Linked DNA regions of Macaca fascicularis. The main gene of each other region encodes a partner of the protein of the gene in region 2 in a complex. Links are inferred from orthologs where the notes say so. Each region holds a gene or a part of one and is shown on either strand. Other genes may lie near its edges. The genes, in order: GATAD1, YWHAE and MLF1.

Region 1 (3,749 bases), on a different chromosome or scaffold from region 2:
CGAAATTGGTGCCAACGGCAGCAGCTATAATGACAGCCAGTTCACACAGAAGTGCCTCTGTTGATCACCAATTAACAGTAAAATCTGATAATATCTCATTCCAAGGTTGTCATAAGCACTAAATGTGGTTTTGTGACATAATAGGCATTTGTTTCTCCCCATTGCTTCCCACCACAATATATTCATCAAGACTTTTCCAAGGATACTAAGTCTAGGAAACCCAGGATCATGAAGAGAGGACATGCTCTTCCAAATGAGGCTGAGGAGAGACTTGTCTGGCGAGGCCTGTACTGACTAGTGACATTAGAAGAGGCGATCTGACTTCTCATACTGCGCTTGTCCCAGGCCCGCTGTTTGTCAACTGCTGGGTCCTCAGAGCCAAAACTGTTTTCCAACAGTTTTGAATTGAATAACAGCCAGTTATTCAATTTTCTCCACATTCTCTAATCGGTATACTCTTCAGAGTCCAAGGGACTTGCAACGATATTACCCAATGGCTGAAGAATGTGCGCTTGACATCTTAGGCTGTAAAATGTCTCAATTTCAATTTCTAAAACATAAATGTCAGTGGATGGCATTTTCTGAATCCCTTGTCGATGTCCGTAAATGGCATGCTCTGAATTCAACTAAACAAAAGTATGGGTTGGGGGGAGATGTAGGGGCATGTCCAAATTATAATTTTTAAGAGTGTAAAGGGGTCCTGAGAAAGATTGCCAGATTTTTTTTTTTTTCTTGAGTCAGAGTCTCACTCTATCCCCCAGGCTGAAGTGCAATGGCATGATCTTGGCTCACTGCAGGCTCTACCTCCCGCACTCAAGAGATTCTTCTGCCGCAGCCTCCAGAGTAGCTGGGATTACCCCGGAGCCCGCCACTACTGAGCCTGGCTAACTTTTGTATTTTTAGTAGAGAAGGGGTTTCACCATGTTGGCCAGGCTGATTTCGAACTCCTGAGCTCAAGTAATCCGCCAGCCTTGGTCTCCCAAAGTGCTGGGATTGCAAGCGTGAGCCACCACGCCAGACCTGGATTGCCAGATTTAGCACATAAAAATACAGGACTCCCAGTTAAACTCCTCTCAGATAAACCATTATTGCATGAAATTCACTCACGCTAAAAACAATTGTTCGTCGTTTACCTGAAAGTCACATTTCATTGGTCCTGCATTTTACCCCGCAAATTCTAGGCCTGACACCAAAAAGTTTGAGAACCGCGCCCCTAGGCGACAGCAAGCGGAACTACCGCAAGCTCCCAGTAATTCCGGGTGCTGCACTTCCGGTCAGGCGGTCGGGCTGCGCGGCCCTGGGGCCAGCTCACCGCCGGAAGCCTCCGCGTCCCCGCCGGCCATATCCCGTTCCCGGTCCTGCTTCCCAGTGCCTCGGGCCTCCCGGGGCTGGTGCTGGGCGCCGAGCCGGCGGAACCGGCGGAACCCGCTTCCCGCCTCCACGCGGCAGCGCTAGCGGCCTAGTCCCTTCACGGGCAGCTCGGTGCTGTCGCCCTCACTGCTCTTCCTATCGCCGGGAGTGGTGGGCCGACCAGGGGGCGGCCGGGCTAGCGTCCGCCATTCCCGTGTCTCTGCGCCCGCGGGGGCCGCCCGAGCCGGCCACCATGCCGCTGGGCCTGAAGCCCACCTGCAGCGTATGCAAGACCACGTCGTCCTCCATGTGGAAGAAGGGCACGCAGGGGGAGATCCTCTGCCATCATTGCACTGGCCGGGGCGGCGCGGGCAGCGGGGGCGCAGGCTCGGGGGCGGCTGGAGGGACTGGGGGCAGCAGCGGCGGTGGCGGCGGCTTCGGCGCGGCGACCTTCGCCAGCACCTCCGCCACTCCTCCGCAGAGCAACGGGGGCGGGGGCGGCAAGCAGGTGAGCTCCTCCGGCCCCTCCCGCCGGCGGAGGCCGACCGGGCGCTAGGCGGCAGGGGCCGGGCGGGTTGGGAGCGGGCGGGCCCGGGCTTCCCGGCTCGCCGTGGTCCTGCCGGCTGGAACGCCCCTCCCCACCTCCTACTGAGATCTTTGGTTTGACCCATTCCAAAGCACCTGTTATAAGAAATTCAAAGCAATAAGAACCAAAATGTAAAGCCCTTAAGAAAATCTCAATATGCACACGTCTACACAGTCGTAAACAGGGTCATGCCACAAGTGCAGGTGCTGGACCTCATTGCTTGTTAAAGGTTTTGTCATATCAGGTTATGAAGTAAGATTATTATGTCATTATTGTAAATGGCAGCTTAAGTATTCAGTTGTAGGAGGCGCCATAACCTAATACGTTATCTGGCCTTAGGGAGTAAAGTTGTTAAGTGTTTTTCTCTATTGTAGACACAACAAATGAATAGTGTTTGTCTTGGCCCAGACTGACTCTTACTTCCGCCTCCTGACTTATTACAAGCAGCTCACACCTTTTGGAGGCTCTGGAGACGCCTATCCAGCGAGCTCCGAGATTCCGGTGCTGAACTTCCGGTTTTACTTAGCCCAGTTGCTGAAATTACCTCTGTTGAAAAGCAAAGGCGCACTCTTAATTGTTAAATACTCCTATAAAGTACATACTCTGGGATCCTTGTAAGATGATTGTATTGCAACCTGTATACACTTTTTACTTCTTTCTCTGTTCTTTAATTTGTTTGTGTAACAGAGTAAGCAGGAAATTCACAGGAGGTCTGCTCGGCTCAGAAACACTAAATACAAATCTGCTCCGGCTGCTGAGAAGAAAGTTTCCACCAAAGGAAAAGGGAGAAGACATATATTTAAATTGAAAAATGTAAGATATTTGTGGACAGTGCCTTTTACTGTAATGATGTTGTGTGTATCCTGCCACTGCCTTCATTTCCCGCCATTGAACTTGGACTCTGCCCTTGGTAGCCCTTCCTTAGTATTCTGGGGAGTGGTCCAGACTCCCCAAAAGGGAATGAGCTCTGTTGCAGGAGGCTCACTATTTTTAAAGGTAATAATACTCTTTCCTTTTTTTTTTTTTTTTTTTAGCTTTTATTTTTTTCCCCTGGAAAATATAAAATATGAGTTTAAAAGAAACATCAGCCTTGAGCCCATTTTTTGGGGTTCTCTATGGAAAGGAAGAGGAGAGATTATGGTTCTTGATATGGCCAGGTACACTAAGAAAACTTTTTTTTCATTCTTTAAAAATTAAGTAAATATTAACACTAGAACTCATCATTTGCATATTTATTTATTATTAAAGCCCCAGAAAATGTATCTTATTGACTTATGATGATGATGTATTTGATGAATATGAGTCAAAAATTCTGCTAAGCCTTCTCTCTTCTACTCTAAGAAAAGACATTGTTGAAAGACCTGTGCTGGAAATAATTGAAAGCATATTTTTATTGCAATTAAATTATCAGTTTTTATAAACAAGGGATAATGTTCAAACACAATGGACAGTGCATTATGGACTATTTTTTTAAGTCTCAGTATGGTATTCTTTTCTTTCAGAACAGGAATGTTTCACTTACCCGTAAAGACATTTTTGAAGTCGGGCATATTTATTTCTAAAACACAAAGGGACCCTGCAGTAGACTTATGCAGATGGCAGACTATTTTCTTTTTTTTTTTTTAATGTAATTTAATTTAATTAATTTTTTAAAATTTTACTTTAAATTCTGGGATACATGTGCAGAACGTGCAGGTTTGTTACATAGGTATACATGTGCCATGGTGATTTGCTGCACCTGTCAACCCATCATCTAGGTTTTAAGGCCCATGTGCATTAGATATTTGTCCTAATGCTCTCCCTCCCCTTGCCC
Region 2 (3,749 bases):
GTTCAAGAGATTCTCCTGACTTAGCCTCCTGAGTAGCTGGGATTACAGCCATGTACCACCACGCCCAGCTAATTTTTTGTATTTTTAGTAGAGACGGGGTTTCACTATGTTGGCCAGGCTGGTCTCGAACTCCTGACCTTGTGATCCGCCCGCCTTGGCCTCCCAAGGTGCTGGGGTTACAGGTGTGAGCCACTGCGCCCGGCCAGGGCCCAGTTCGTTACCCTGAGTGTAAAAGTGTCTGAAATGGGCCCATGACCAGGAGTGGCGGAGAAACCCAGGACGCGGGCCGGGCGCGGTGGCTCACTCCTGTAATCCCAGCGCTTTGGGAGGCCGAGGTGGGCGGATCACCTTGAAGTCGGGAGTTCGAGACCAGCCTGACCAACATGGTGAAACCCCGTCTCTATTAAACATACAAAAGGTAGCTGGGCTTGGTGGCGGGCGCCTGAAATCCCAGCTACTCGGGAGGCTGAGGCAGGAGAATCACTTGAACCCGGGAGGCAGACGTTGTGTTGAGCCGAGATCGCACCACTGCACTCCAGCCTGGGGAACAAGAGCGAAACTCCGTCTCAAAAAAAAAACAAAAACACAAAAGGAAACCAGGACACGGTAGTGACAGCCGCTGCTTTCGGGGAGGAAGACCTGCCATGACAGAAACCGTTAGCGCCTCAGTCGTTCTCTTCCGCAGGTCGGGCCTCGGGCCCAGGTTTCCCGCCGGCTTTTTTCAGGAGCAGTCCCGGCCGGCCCCGCCTCAGCCCTTCCCGTTCCCCGGGGGCCGCTCCCTCTCAGCAGTCGCAGTTCCCGCCTCTGGGCTCCGGCGCCCGCTGAGCCGACGGAGGAGGGGCGTCTCCTGCGCTGGTTCCAGCCTCTTCGGGCGCCGAGTTCCAGGACCCGCCCCCCGCGCCAGTTGCCAGGGAGCGGTTGCCATAGAGCTGAGCAGTTGTCCGCGTGCGCAGGCGGAAGTCCCGGATTGAGGCGCCGCCATTTTTGCTGCCCGGACGCGGAGCGAGAGGCTGAGAGAGTCGGAGACACTATCCGCTTCCATCCGTCGCGCAGACCCTGCCGGAGCCGCTGCCGCTATGGATGATCGAGAGGATCTGGTGTACCAGGCGAAGCTGGCCGAGCAGGCTGAGCGATACGACGGTGAGTTGGGGGGGCAGCGGGGGGCTGGAATTCTCGTTCCCTCTGCCGCCGCCCACAGAGGCCGGGAACAGGAGACAAAATGGCGGCATCGTCTGCGAGCCTGGCCCGGGGGCTTGGGTTCGGGAAGCAGGAAATGGCCTGGGAGCTCCCGGGGCAATGGGAGGCTGTATGCCTTGGAATGTGACCCCTTCGCCGTCCTTAACTGCAAACAACTCGCGGGCCGGGAGGCCGGGGAGACGGGGTGGAGGAGTTGGTTGTAAAATGGCGGCTGGGGGGAGGGCGAGTCTCGGGGCGGGGGAGGGGGAGGAGATGGCGGGTGCTGTCTCCGAACGAGCAGCCCTCAGGGGAGCTTCTGGGACGGTCTTGGGATGTGGAGAACAATTGGGTGCGGTGACGGGGGAAGCAGCACCCGCCACATGGGAGAGAGCGGAGACCGGGAGCTGTAGCGCGGGCGCCTTTCAGGGAAATATGGCGGGTGGGGGCGGTGGCTTTTCCCCGGAGGCCCCGTGTGGGGCGGCGGCCGTGGAGTCTCACAAAGGAGAAGCCTTCAGAGCGATGGGCTTCCTCAGGCCTGAGGCGGGGGACAGTCCCGGGTGATGGTGGGGGGAGAGGGGTGAGCGGGAATCACTGCGGTTCGTCTGGGGCGGTGGCAGGCGCCGACGCTGCGATCGGGTTTCTCTCCCGTGGGCCGGCACCTCGTAGTGAGGGGGTTTGGGGCTTTTCCTCCTCGCCGCCTGCTGGGGAGGCCCAGAAAACCCTCACTCCCTCCCCTTTCCTCAGACTTAAAACGGGAGACCTCGAAGTTCCTGTAACCTTTCTCTGACTGCATCACCAGTGGGTTCTGATGGATAGAAGCAGGAGACCAGGAGGCCACGACTCTGAGAGTTCGAGCCTTTGTAGGGCCCGAGCCTCAGTCCACCCGTTTGTAAAAACGATGACTTTACAGTTTGTGCGCACCATCATGACACATGGAAAGACCTGTTGAAATAAAGTTATTTCCAATAGTGTTCAGTCACTGTATTTTGGTTGACTCTGCAGGCTCGGGATGCTGGTCTGTACTTCGTGGGGGAGCTTAACCTATTCCAGGCACTCGGCTGAGGCTGGGGTTTTTGAGTTATGAAGGTTGGAGATCCTGTTGCTTTCTTTTTTTCCATTTCAAATAAATGGGTTTATGTAGAAATTTTAGTAGTTCCTCTTTGTTCGTTGTTCCTTTGCCCATAACGGGTTCTCCAGTCCTTTTTCATAACTTTATCGAAATATCCATTGTGTCTGTCTAGTCATTGTCAGGAAGTTTATTCTTAGTCCTCCCTCCCAGTCCACCTTTTGAAATACCCTCACATTTATAATTGTGCGATACTGTAGTATTAAAGGAAAAGTCATGTATGTGGGTCCTGTGGTTTTAATGCTTTTGTGTGGTAGGGTGGGATGAGACATGGTTGGAATCAAGTATCTTTGATCCTTAGATTTTTCCTGATTAAGCTACCTGTATTTCAAAATGTTGTGTAGGGCCGTTGCTTTCCTGGAAATGCAGATTTAGTCATGTGAATAACCTCAGGGCTACTCCCCCTTATCAGAAACGAGGATTCAGGGATTTGAAAATAAGACAAGGCCTCTAGAAGTCAAATTTGGAATAATACTAAACTAAATTTCGTCTTGTAAATTGTTAAATTGCTATTTGTATTGAACAAGATTCCTGTTGGGAGAGGGAGGGGAATTAGGTGGGGAAGTGCAGCTCAAGGTCAGCTTTGTCTTTATTTCAGTGTTTAAAAATCAAACAGATAAAGATGTGCTTGTATTGGAAGTCTCCTCCTCCGCTCCTCATCTCCAGATGTTCCCCTCTTCATCTATTAGTGTTCTTGGGAGGAAACAAATTATACTTGAATGCTTTCTGTTTTGTGGGCATTGGAGCTCTGAGTAAACTTGCTGTGATAACTAGAAAGGATGTGAGAGAAGGTCTTTTTTTTGAAAGCTCCTTTAAAAAACCGATTTGAAAGCTTATGATTGTAGTTTCCAATTAAATGACAGGTTAGTGATAATTATATTTTTGATGTGAGTGGTGAAGATTTCTGACCAGAGCCCTTACTGGTTATTGAACATAGGACTCTGATAAAGCCACATCCTTACAGTTGTTAATGTTAGGTGTCCCCTTCAGGATCTAAAGGGGTAAGGAAATAGAATCTGCAAGGTGAGGAGCTATTCCTGTGACTTGGGGCATATGGTAGGGATTCAGTAGAAAGGAGAGGAGGAGAAGGAGACAGACACCAGGAATTTCTACCTGTGTCCTCTGCCTGTGTCCATTCCTTTATTGAGTGCAATATTTTTTTGTTTCTGGGACGAAGTGTTGCCGGAGTCCTGGTCACCAAACAGAATTTAGCAGGTGTCGGTGGTGGAAGAAGGTAAGACAGTATATTAGCAGGATTTCTTTGTTGGATACTTGTACCCAAATGCTGGTTTTCCAGCTGCTCTTTTATCTTTCTGTTAACTGCAGTAGGCCTATTTTATTTTGCTTGCTGTGTTGAATTAATGCCTAAACTTACATGTACCCTCATTTAATTCTATCCTGGGGCGTTGGAATCAATTTATATGGATTATTTAATGGTACGGGAGGA
Region 3 (3,487 bases), on a different chromosome or scaffold from region 2:
GGCCACTGCACTCCAGCCTGGGTGACAGAGCGAGACTCCGTCTCAAAAAAAAAAAAAAAAAAAAAAGAAATATCAAACAACAGATGTGAGTTAAGATTTTATATTCTTATAAACTTTAAACCTAACTTTTATAAAAACAGATTAATGTTTAAATTCTAGAATAAAAATGCTAAAGCTGATTTTTAATGGTACAATTAAAACAGAAACAACTGAATTATTAAGATGTTGCTCAAAACCACCCATCAGCTGTCTAACAAATTCTGAGACAATGTATCATTCTGGTTTGGAGAATACTAAATGTATTTTTCTAAATGTCCCAAAAAAGCTGAGCAGAGTTTTCTCCAAGGACTCTCCAGCTTTAGAATGTTAGTCTTGGAGATAGATGAAGCTGTCTGTGGGAAAGGAGAGCAGAAATATGCCACATTAAGAAGTTAAAGAGAATGGTCAATATGATATCTGATGAATATTAAGAATGTAATATAGAAAAGATACATTCTATAAAGAAATTATAACCAAAACAATCATGTACATTAGCAATTTAAAATATTTTTCTCCGAAAATGAACTATTTGATTATTCTTGTCCTTTATCAAAATAATAACTATTTTCTCATAAAAGAGTACCAGTGTAGTTTTGCTTTATTATTTTTAAAGTTTTAATCTAGCTGGCTGTACAACACATTATAAAATTAGAGATAAATTATTTAAACCTTTATTAATATCACCCGAGTACAGTGTTAGTAAAAACTGAGAAATTTTTAACATTATAATGTCTTATAACTAATTATAAGTGACAGAACTGCTCTGCAATCAATCTTGATAAATATAAAAGAATACCTAGCCAACACAAAAACAACTGGGGAAGCAAAATCAGCATATAAGCTTTAAAAAATCAGTATGTTTTAAAGAGTTTTATATTAAATAGACTGTTTCACAATTTACTCACATTGTTGAAAATCAAAATTTTATTCCTAAAAGAGGGACAATATAAAGCTAGGACCTTCATGAACATTCAGGTATCAGAAGAAAGTTGCCAAGGACAGAACTGATTTAACAGCAAGAGATTGGTCTTATGCTTATTACCCAGCACCATTACTAACTGTTAAAACAACCAAAACTAAGCAAATCAAATGCATGGCTATTTATTTTTTGTTGCTTTTCACAGATGAGCCTTTGATGTGGAGTTTATCCCCCAAAACATTTGATCTTCTTCCACGTTCAATGGCTGGACTTTGTTGAGGTTTCTCCCTGAGAAATATACATGTGAATATTAATATGATTTATAAAATGGCCAATGGTTTATAAATCAATAAACATGTTAAAAACCACTGTAACATAAGAAAACTTTTATCTTAAAAGTTCCTTAATAGCTTTGAAAAACAAGGCTGGCCAGGTGTGGTGGCTTACGCCTGTAATCCCAGCACTCTGTGAGGTCGAGGTGGGCAGATCACGAGGTCAAGAGATTGAGACCATTCTGGCGAACATGGTGAAACCCCATCTGTACAAAAAATTAGCTGGGCGTGGTGATGTGCACCTATAGTCCCAGCTACTCAGGAGGCTGAAGCAGGAGGACTGCCTGACCCTGGGAGGTGGAGGTTGCAGTGAGTCGAGATTGCGCCACTGCACTCCAGCCTGGTGACAGAGCCAGACTGTCTCCCCCTCCAAAAAAACAAAAACAAACAAACAAACGGGAAAAACAAGGCAGACTATTTCAGTGAATTTAAAACAGCAACAGCTGTTTTCCTGAGATAGATTTAACTGTTTATAGTTTAAACACTGTTTAATGTTAACGGTATGGTAGCCACTAACCACATTTATATTTGAATTAAACTAAAATAATTTAATACTTCAGTTTTACCAGCAATGGTTCAAATGTGAATCAACAGCCACATGTGGCTAGTAATTACTACACAGGACAGAATAGATATATAGCATTTTTCTCATTACCGAAGTCATTTCAGGAAATGCCATTGGACAGTGCTGGTTAAGAGAAAATGCCACTGTTAGGGCCAGAAATTTATAGGTCATCCATAAAGAGTATGCCTTCTCTAAGTGGGACCTGGATTTCCTATTCAAACTTGGCACTGCTAGGTTTTTAATCAGTACATTTTTCAAATGAGAAAAATATCTGTAATTAATATAGGAGCAAGTTTTCAAGCAATTCAATAGAAAATACCAGGTCTCTAAATTCCTAAACAAGTGTTTTAGAAGAAAAGATCCTAGCATATGAAATTCTCCATAAGGCTTCTGATTTACTTGATACTCACTTGTCCACCGCTAGTTCTGTGAAGCCTTCTACCTTCTGCAGCAATTCTCCACTCTCTTATAGCTTAGAACAGATTTCTATTTAAGGTCTGGTGAGGCCTTTCTCTTTAGTGTAACTTCATAGGAAATAGATATTATTATTCACTTCCCCCCCCGCAGAGAACCACATTAAACTGTAGCTCCAGGGTATGTACAAAATGTATTTTAAAATCTCTATAATATTTATTTATTCATTTTTGAGATAGAGTCTCAGTCTGTCACTCAGGCTGTAGTGCACCGGTGTGATTTTGGCTCACCACAACCTCCGCCTCCTGGGTTCAAGCGATTCTCTTGCCTTAGCCTCCCAAGTAGCTGGGATTATAGGTGTATGCTACCATACCTAGCTAATTCGTATTTTTAGTAGAGACGGGGTTTCACCATGTTGGCCAGGCTGGTGTCAAACTCCTGACCTCAAGTGATCCACCTGCCTCGGCCTCCCGAAGTGCTGGGATTACAGGCATGAGTCACCATGCCCAGCCAGAAATCTCTATAATCCTTAATATGTGGTTTCAGCAAATTTATTTTTCTCAGCTATACTAAAAGGGAATTGTAAAATAAGCTAATGTTCTTGCAAAATTCTTCCAAAACACCTAAAACACATCAAATATGGTATTGCATGTACTGTTACATATTGTACCCGTGTCTGAAATTTCATTTACGATTACATGATAAATTGTGATTTGTTAAGGAAGTTGTTAAGTCTTCCAAATACAGCCCCTCTCCCCTTAACATATCTCTAGGTATCTTTACCAGTGTGAAATGTATAACTCTATAACCATATTAGAATCTGTTTTACAAGAATAACTACTCCGTAGCAAATCAGTTTTCCTGAAGAGGATTTTGGTCTCTGTCTTCTGAGGCATAATTTACTAGTGAATTACTAACCATACAATCCTAAACTATTATTGATTTTTAGATATAAATTTAAATTTGTGCGGAATACTCAGTTTTAGTATAAAATTATAACATCTTTCACAAAAGATACTGTGGATACAACTTGGATGATCATCAAAACTTTCTGATAACAGAAATAAAATTATGTAACTTTACTTCAAATTCTTCTTTAAAAACCAAACTATTTTAGAAACAACTTTTACCTTCTTTTAAGTTCTTGGGAGCCAGGATTCTCATGACCAACACTTCTCATTCTAGTGTTTTCTAGATTGTGTCGTCCTGGTTTGTACT

What was found.
Region 1: the proteins of YWHAE (region 2) and GATAD1 are in contact, whole or in part, in a crystal structure (PDB 8Q1S), measured with the Homo sapiens proteins. The link is inferred for Macaca fascicularis from reciprocal best matches to the Homo sapiens genes YWHAE and GATAD1. Residues at the interface, in NP_006752.1 of Homo sapiens: Asn43, Ser46, Val47, Lys50, Arg57, Arg61, Lys123, Arg130, Tyr131, Gly172, Leu175, Asn176, Val179, Tyr182, Glu183, Lys215, Asp216, Leu219, Ile220, Leu223, Asn227, Leu230, Trp231; in NP_066990.3 of Homo sapiens: Thr98, Lys99, Tyr100, Lys101, Ser102, Ala103, Pro104, Ala105, Ala106, Glu107.
Region 3: the proteins of YWHAE (region 2) and MLF1 are in contact, whole or in part, in a crystal structure (PDB 3UBW), measured with the Homo sapiens proteins. The link is inferred for Macaca fascicularis from reciprocal best matches to the Homo sapiens genes YWHAE and MLF1. Residues at the interface, in NP_006752.1 of Homo sapiens: Lys50, Asn51, Arg57, Arg61, Lys123, Arg130, Tyr131, Glu134, Pro168, Gly172, Leu175, Asn176, Val179, Tyr182, Glu183, Leu219, Ile220, Leu223, Asp226, Asn227, Leu230, Trp231; in NP_071888.1 of Homo sapiens: Arg31, Ser32, Phe33, Ser34, Glu35, Pro36, Phe37.

What each region holds. Positions count from the first base shown.
Region 1 is NC_088377.1:128,910,361-128,914,109, reverse strand, and holds the start of GATAD1 (GATA zinc finger domain-containing protein 1), read left to right. Parts: upstream 1-1,326; 5' UTR 1,327-1,603; coding exon 1,604-1,858; intron 1,859-2,623; coding exon 2,624-2,749; intron 2,750-2,970; exon of another isoform or gene 2,971-3,749. UniProt on the Homo sapiens protein: Component of some chromatin complex recruited to chromatin sites methylated 'Lys-4' of histone H3 (H3K4me), with a preference for trimethylated form (H3K4me3).
Region 2 is NC_088390.1:1,505,508-1,509,256, reverse strand, and holds the start of YWHAE (14-3-3 protein epsilon), read left to right. Parts: upstream 1-964; 5' UTR 965-1,076; coding exon 1,077-1,140; intron 1,141-3,749. UniProt on the Homo sapiens protein: Adapter protein implicated in the regulation of a large spectrum of both general and specialized signaling pathways. Binds to a large number of partners, usually by recognition of a phosphoserine or phosphothreonine motif.
Region 3 is NC_088376.1:61,538,665-61,542,151, reverse strand, and holds the end of MLF1 (myeloid leukemia factor 1), read right to left. Parts: coding exon 3,400-3,487; intron 1,247-3,399; coding exon 1,141-1,246; 3' UTR 620-1,140; downstream 1-619. UniProt on the Homo sapiens protein: Involved in lineage commitment of primary hemopoietic progenitors by restricting erythroid formation and enhancing myeloid formation.